3 linked regions of the Kluyveromyces lactis genome follow. The main gene of each other region encodes a partner of the protein of the gene in region 2 in a complex. Links are inferred from orthologs where the notes say so. Each region holds a gene or a part of one and is shown on either strand. Other genes may lie near its edges.

Region 1 (2,728 bases), on a different chromosome or scaffold from region 2:
GAACTTAGAAACCCTAAAGTGAGATCATCAAGACCTTCGTTACCATCTGATGACGATGCTTACAACAGCAATGATGATGACGATGACGAATATGACGAACAAAACGAATTTTTCGCTGTAAGAAAATCGCTACGTAAGACCCACACAGCACCATCTCGTCGTGATATCACTCCAGAAGCAGTTAAAGCCAAGTCTAAACTGAACAAACCTCCTTCTTCTATCAGTTCTGTAGAAGAAATACCTGAAGCGATGGCAAAGAGGCAAGCTCTTTTGAGATCCTCAACGGAATCGGAAATTGAAAAGAAATCCTCTTCATCATTAAAGAGCCTACAAAAGCATGGCTCAAAGTTCCAAAAGCAACTGATTAAAACAATCAACAGTAGTCAGGCCTCTCTATCGGCATTGGCGTCGTCAACTGCATCATCTGCAAACTCATCATCTGACGCATTGAATGCGAAGACAAAGAAAATGCTAACAAAGGTACGTTCTAAGGGTCCAAAACGTAAGCTCCCAACAGACGTCACTAAATTGTAAATACCTCCTTATTCATATTAACTCGAACCACAAACTAGTTGCACAATCCGGCAAAAACGCATTCGTCAACTGCTAATGTGCGTTCATTGATCTTGTAAAGTTACCCTTCTAAATACGTATGCCTTTAATTCCTAATTACTTATTCCATTTTCCGACCTTAAAGCTTTTTTTTTATCCAAAACAAAACAATCAATTATTTCAAATTATATTCAATATATGCTTCTTGAGCAGTTGATATGGAATTTTGATTGCCGAAGTTCCCATTCATATTTCGTCCAAACAGTCTTTCACTGGTCAGAACACACGCAGCTATTACTGTGGTGTTGTGTGTGAGAAAAGTGATTACTGGTAGCTTAAGAGTTTTGTTTTCGTTTTCATCTCAGTTCATTTAGGGAAGGAGGTCAAGTTAATTCTGTTATACGGCCTCTTCTTTCCTTTGCTATTTGTGTTGCCAGTGCGAAGTTAGAGCGTAAGATTTTAAAGCTTCTATTCTAGCGTTTAGCATTCTTTCTGTCGAAACCGTTATTTGTGTTTACCTATTGAGTGCTCAAGAAACTGAGAAAGAGAGATATCAGAGTTTACTATTTGATCTTTACGCCCTGACATTTAGGGTTTTAGTTTCCTTTCCATTATACTTACAGATTTTACCAATCCGAATACACAATCTATTTAAGCAAAATATGACAGACGGGCTTTTAGTTACTGGTGACCTGGTTCTTTGCACCGTGGGCAGTTACGAACCATGGCCAGCTGTAGTTGTTCCTCAACGGATATTGAGTAAGAGTGTGCTGAAGGCGAAGGAGAACGTTGGTCAAGTTGCTGTGGCATTTTTTAACGATTCTACCTATTATTGGACTAAACCAAAACAGTTAAAACTTCTTACTGAGGAAAATATAGAAGCGTGGATAAAATCGCCGCCCAAAAGGTCTTCGAAAGAGTTGAAGAAAGCTTACCAGTTTGCATCCGACTATACGAGTTTGCAAGAGTTTGTCGAAGACAGGTTGACAGCGGAGGGAAGAGCGGATGATTTGGAAACTATCGCTGAAGTTAAGATGGGAGAGGACCCATTACTTTCCAATATTGAGTTAAAACTGGAAGACACTAAATCTACGGATAAAAGACGGGGCAGAAGAAGAAATGAAAGCGAATCAGAGGATTCTACCTCCAATAATAACAGTAACGGAAGTACCAAAGCTAAAAAGTCGCCCAGTAGTGGAAACAAAAATAGAGACTCACCGGTATCTACACCTGTCGCAACATCTGTTTCAGATTTCAAGAAGAAGAGGGAAAGCTCATCAGAATCTCTCTCGACATCTCCTTCATTCGTACCAGAAGAACCTCCCAAGAAACGCAGTAAGCTTGACTACTCACGTAGGGTAGAGATTGCTCAAATATTCCGTAACAAATTACAGAAGTGTTTGGTTCAACGAGATACCCCACCAACAGATGCAGATCTTGCCGAGTCTGATAAACTCATGAGGAAAATCCTATCACATACTAAATCAACACCGGAATTCTTTGATTTAGAAGCCCTTAGGGTATCCAAATTGCATAAACTATTAAAAGTCATTTCTAGTATGCCTGAATTATCACAGTTTCACGAATCTTGTAACACTATATTGGAAGTGTGGGCACCTCATGTTCAAAAGATCAAAAAGGAAAAACTGAAACTGAAGGGTTCGCTATCCCCATAGAGTGGATCACAACTGTCACTTTTAATATCTTCGATTCATAATAAGAGCACAAAAGAACCGTTCAAAAGGAAAGCACAAACAATGCATTACTGCTTTATAACAAATTCAATTCAATTCTGACATTATTCTCATGTAAAATCTATCACATTAACCTACATAATCTCATCCCTACCACCTCTCCAGTTACCTCACCGTACCTATTCCTTCTTTTCTTGGACCCTTCAATCATAATGTATCATTATTTACGTTTATCGCTCTGTTCCCCATCAATTGTTATTATTAACAAAATTGCCAAAACCTTTAAAATGACTTTAAGGTAGCAAAATTGTGCACTTCATTACAAACATCAGACATCTTTCCCATAAGCTAGCACATTAGGGAACCGATATTTTAATTATATTTCCTGTAAATTTTTATTGTTTATCAAATACGCCAAGTATTACTTCAATAACTTTCAAGTTGTTATGTCCACTACCGTTGATTTGCCAGAGCATTTAGTA
Region 2 (2,665 bases):
AGAAAAGCGCGACTTGCACTGAATATTTTTTTTTACTTAACCGATCAACGGTAATAAAATTGCATCTTGATGATAATTTCTATGAAAATTCAAGTAACCCAAAAGACACCGGCACCTATGAACAAATACAAAGAAACGTTACATTTAATAGACCTTCTATAATCTTGATCGTTTGGTTCAATCTTCAAGACAAGCATCCAAATCATTAGCGAATACAAAGATGTTAAGATGTGTTATCCCAAGCGTTCGCGCTACTGCAACGACCAGAACCTTTGTTAGATTTGCCAGTTCTCAAGGCTACATTGATGGGATCGCTGCATTAAAACAAGACTTGAAGAAGGCAATGCTTGCAAAAGACAACCTAAGAAAGACAACCATTAGAGGTGTACTATCTACAATTAAGAACAAGGAAATTGACAGTAAGGATAAGGATCTAGATGAATTTGTATTGTATGATGTGTACGCCAAGTTAATCTCGCAAAGGAAGGACTCCATCGCTGAATTTGTTAAAAATAAGAGAGAAGATTTGGTAGAGAAAGAAGCCAATGAGATAAAGATCCTCGAGAATTATCAGACTGCCTTGCCTGTTGCTTCTAGGGAGGAAGTAGACGCTCGTGTTGTGCAGATTTTAACAGATCTAAAAGAATCAGAGCCATCTATACAATTGAAGCAGGTCTTCGGAAAAATTGACTGGAAAACACTACCAGGCGAATTGAAGGCATCTCCAGCTGCTATCAGGTCCAGTATTAGCTCTCAATTTAAGAAAGTGTTCCAATAAATCACCTAGCTAAAACCAAACTTGTACAGAGTCATTCATTAAAAAAAAAACTCCGATGAATGACGCCCTTGTGATTAAGTAGGCACATCAATCCCGTAAATAAATGTACTTACAATTATGCAATATCAAGCCGCAGCAATGGATTTGACTCACGTGAACAATTCTCTATCTAAAGACTTCTGATAAAGCCATGTTGTTCGCTAGGATGCTTTGCCAGATCACGTGATAAAACATAGTAACCAATACTCTCTGGTAACTACTAAGTGGGGAGAATATGGACATGATAGTCTTTTGCTCTCTCCACAATAGCATAATCGTAACTCTTGCATGCATCTTCAACTGCCTTCCTCCACCTTATTGTAGTACTTCCTCTAAATTTCACCAAACATTGAAAACATGAATTGACTAAATTTCAAATTCAGAGATAAATAATGGCAATTACAAGTACGAAAATATCCAGAAGAGAAACATTAGACGTGCTTATAACCCCCAATCAAATCAACCAACGATGGTGTCGGTATGTAATGATTAAAAAAGACTGAAAAGCTTCTTCAGTTCGTTTTTAGAAGGTTTCTTTTCACAATGAGTTTACTAACAGACCTTTTATTCAATATTTCGGAAACAGACTGTGAAGAGAACGGTCAGAATTAAGACCAAGCAATCTGTCCTACCGGATGTACCACCTCCAGTAGAAAACTTTCCTATGCGTCAATGGACCATTGAATTAGTTCTTTTGGATGAACAAGGAAACGAAATTCCAGCCACGATATTTGATAAGGTAGTGTATCATTTGCATCCAACTTTTGCAAACCCTCATAGAACATTCACGGAACCTCCTTTTAGAATTGAAGAACAAGGCTGGGGTGGCTTTGAATTGTTGATAAGTGCGCATCTTCTTGAGAAAGGGGGCGAGAAGAAGATAACTCACGACCTACATTTCATGAAAGATGCCTATGAAATTGATCATGTAATCCAAGTTCCTACCAATAAGCCTCTTCTAAGAGCAGAACTAGAGAAAAGTGGACCTGTCGATGAAGTAGCATCAACAGCAGCAGCAACTCCAAATGCAACAGCGACAGCTGCCACCACTCCAGGTGACAAGAGAAAAGCATCTACTGTCAATGGTGATGTAAAAACGAAAAAAGCCAAGACCGCCTCCGCTTCAACAGTGAAAGGCTCTGTGAACTTGGAAAAGTTAGCATTTGGCTTAACAAAACTAAACGAGGATACATTGGTTGGAGTAGTACAAATGATAACTGATAACAAAACTCCAGAAATGAATATTACGAACAATATCGAAGAAGGTGAGTTCGTTATTGATTTATATAGCTTGCCTGAAAGTCTATTGAAGAGTTTATGGGAATACGTCAAGAAAAACACCGAGTAACCGGACCTCTCACATGTTTATCTAATTTAACCATTACAATTATGTAGTTGTATTTTATAACTTACATCTCCACTAACAGGCACTGCTTGCAGAAAAAGTACCAAATGAACACTATAATGAATAGACAAATCAAGCCTAGGGAAAATTGCACTGAAATATTTGATTGAATTCGCCCTTGGACTTGACTTTAATTATTGTCGACCTCCTACCGATGAGCTTATCTCTGAAAAAAATAATAGTTTGAATCAAATTCTACATGATAGCATATCACAATACTCCATTATGTTTTACTATTGTTGTAGCACAACGGTCCGCAAGCCGTCGATAGAAAACTGTATTGGCATCAAGTCAACACTTAACATAATGGAAAAAGATTTTGTAATGGTATGTTTTAATCTAATATTGCCATAACGTTTGTCACTAGCAGCATTGTCACTAACAAGTGGTTGTTTACAAACATATCAGCCTTACGTTCCTCGAACAATAAGAGTCAAAACTCA
Region 3 (2,335 bases), on a different chromosome or scaffold from region 2:
ACACAATCAGAACGCGGCGTCTATATGTAACAATGAACTGAATTCGAACATTATAGTTGGGGACCATGAGATCCCTTTAGACAACTTATTGGAATGGGAAAGATCCGAGACGTCTGTGAATCCCGACCAGCAGGAAGAGGACAAACAAGAATTGGAACGAGCGATCCGAGAGATATCCCAAACAAATGAGTCGAAACTGCCAGATGTGTTTGAAGATGACAAGATCAACAATAGGATCCTAAGGATAGTAAGCGATATGGGCAACAATATCCTTCTGAATGGTGCGATCAAAGAGATAACTGCTCTCCAGTCCAAGTATGGGCCTAGTAGATTCCAAAGCCCAGAAATGTTTGAACAAGTTTATGAATTATTGGGAGAGTACCGATTCAAACCCTCAGTTCGAAAATTTTTGTTGGAACTGTTCATCAACACACGAGCCGTTGAGAACATGATACGGAACGAGAGGAGAAGAAAAAGATAATTCAGGACAAGCCAAACTTTCATTCAGAACCATCCTTATATAGTAATGGAGTCATCTTAAATAATTCATAAGATTCTTGTAAAGCTTCTGGGATCTCGATTTCATCCAAGGGCAACGAGTTCACTTCTTCTAAACTCTTCAAAAGTGGTACCAGAGCATCCCAATCTTTAAACTTCTGATAATCTGGCTGTTGGAAGATGGGGTATCCATTTAAATTGATGTGAATAGGCTCACCTAATGATTCTAATACCTGGCAGACACTTGTAATCTTGCGAAGCAAGATACTGTAATCTTTCCTAAGAGAAACGTCTTGTTTCAGCAATTCTTCTCTTCTATTAAGAAGCTTCTTGTGCTCTACTTCCAAAGTCGGCATATTGGATGTTTGGTGGTAATAGCACTGAAACTGGAGAAAATCGTCTCACCTCGTAAATAGTTGTTCGAAGTTAAGAAGAAGAGTGATAATTGCTGGCTTAAATTTCTGCTGAAAGAGAGTTCCAATCGAGAGAGACAGTCTACTACTTCTGTAGGTCACGTGAAAATACATGTGACTTGGAAATGCTGTTCAGTTTGGAGCTCTTTCAATCAATCCGGGTAAGTATCACGAAGTCATCGTCACCATGTGAAAGAAAGGAGGAGGATGGTGTGGAAAAAAAAGGATCAAAATTGCTTTGGAAAAGTGCATAAAAACGCCACAACAAGCACAACCACCGCCCCAACCACACCCTTACAGACCAAATTGAGCCACATTGCAGTCCGAACCATTCCCCGTGACCGGTTAGCCATGACTACGGCACAGCACGTGACAGTTACCATTTGCCCAACCTACGTCGGTCTTATACCACACTATTTACGTCAAAACACCGTGCAGGAAACCATGTGGAAACCATTAGGCAAACCACATGTGAAATGCTGTGCGATTCGTGGGAAGTGTTATTTTGACGACATGTGCTTTTCTATGGTATCTGAGAGAGCCCCATCTCTGCAGAAAGAATCCTTTGGTGAATTGTGGTGAAAAGTTTTGTTCTGTTACGTTCCGATGAGCTCAAGTCAAAAGTAAGTAGTAGTAGCAGCAGTAGTAATAGTGGCAGTTTTGTAGTTGAGCAGATTTTTTCGTGGGAACGACTAGAGCAGCCGAAGGTAATTAAGACTCATCGTTTAAACGATGTTTGTTGGATCAGAAACTTCAGTCCAAAGAGGATCTGAAAAAAAATGTATATAAGCAGTCGACTCTTGATGTAATTTGAGGAGTGACAATTGTTCATCATTACAATAATAAAAGGAATTATGTGTACTTTGTTTAAATACAGATTTATTTCCTTTATCATTCAGTTTGAGTTTAATATCTTAAGCCAAACAAACCAATCACTAATCATACATTAGTTTGTCAATAACAAAATGGTTCAATCATACGTCTTAGGGTTCCCAAGAATTGGGCCAAACAGAGAATTGAAGAAGGCTACCGAAGGGTACTGGAACGGTAAGGTCTCTGCTGAACAATTACAACAAGTTGCTAAGGACATCAAGGCCTCTAACTGGAAGTTGCAAAAGGATGCTGGTGTCAATGTCATTGCTTCCAACGATTTCTCTTTCTACGATCAAGTCTTGGATCTTTCTCTATTGTTCAACGTTATCCCACAACGTTACTCTAAGTATGAATTGTCTCCATTGGACACTTACTTTGCTATGGCTAGAGGTTTGCAAAGAAAGGCTACCGAAACCACTGCTGCTGTTGATGTGCCAGCTTTGGAAATGGTTAAATGGTTTGACTCCAACTACCATTATGTCAGACCAACCTTCTCTAACTCTACTGAATTCAAATTGAACGGTCAAAAGCCAGTTGATGAATATTTGGAA

Evidence for each region. The genes of interacting proteins can lie anywhere in the genome.
Region 1: KLLA0_D06831g (region 2) and PDP3 share a complex: the UniProt entries of both Saccharomyces cerevisiae proteins name them as parts of the nuA3 histone acetyltransferase (HAT) complex. The link is inferred for Kluyveromyces lactis from reciprocal best matches to the Saccharomyces cerevisiae genes TAF14 and PDP3.
Region 3: KLLA0_D06831g (region 2) and IES5 share a complex: the UniProt entries of both Saccharomyces cerevisiae proteins name them as parts of the chromatin-remodeling INO80 complex. The link is inferred for Kluyveromyces lactis from reciprocal best matches to the Saccharomyces cerevisiae genes TAF14 and IES5.

The regions. Positions count from the first base shown.
Region 1 is NC_006038.1:945,901-948,628, forward strand, and holds PDP3 (Pdp3p), read left to right. Parts: upstream 1-1,214; coding exon 1,215-2,228; downstream 2,229-2,728. Other genes in the region: BSP1 (Bsp1p), read left to right, coding at 1-534; KLLA0_B10824g (pyridoxal 5'-phosphate synthase), read left to right, coding at 2,693-2,728. UniProt on the Saccharomyces cerevisiae protein: Histone-binding component of the NuA3b histone acetyltransferase complex. Targets the NuA3b HAT complex via histone H3K36me3 to the coding regions of actively transcribed genes to coordinate transcription elongation.
Region 2 is NC_006040.1:588,334-590,998, reverse strand, and holds KLLA0_D06831g (uncharacterized protein), read left to right. Parts: upstream 1-1,286; coding exon 1,287-1,295; intron 1,296-1,403; coding exon 1,404-2,165; downstream 2,166-2,665. Other genes in the region: AIM41 (Aim41p), read left to right, coding at 221-778. UniProt on the Saccharomyces cerevisiae protein: Functions as a component of the DNA-binding general transcription factor complex TFIID, the RNA polymerase II associated general transcription factor complex TFIIF, and the chromatin-remodeling complex SWI/SNF.
Region 3 is NC_006041.1:1,787,854-1,790,188, reverse strand, and holds IES5 (Ies5p), read right to left. Parts: upstream 855-2,335; coding exon 501-854; downstream 1-500. Other genes in the region: TORC2 complex subunit TSC11, read left to right, coding at 1-481; KLLA0_E20087g (uncharacterized protein), read left to right, coding at 1,119-1,493; MET6 (5-methyltetrahydropteroyltriglutamate-homocysteine S-methyltransferase), read left to right, coding at 1,877-2,335.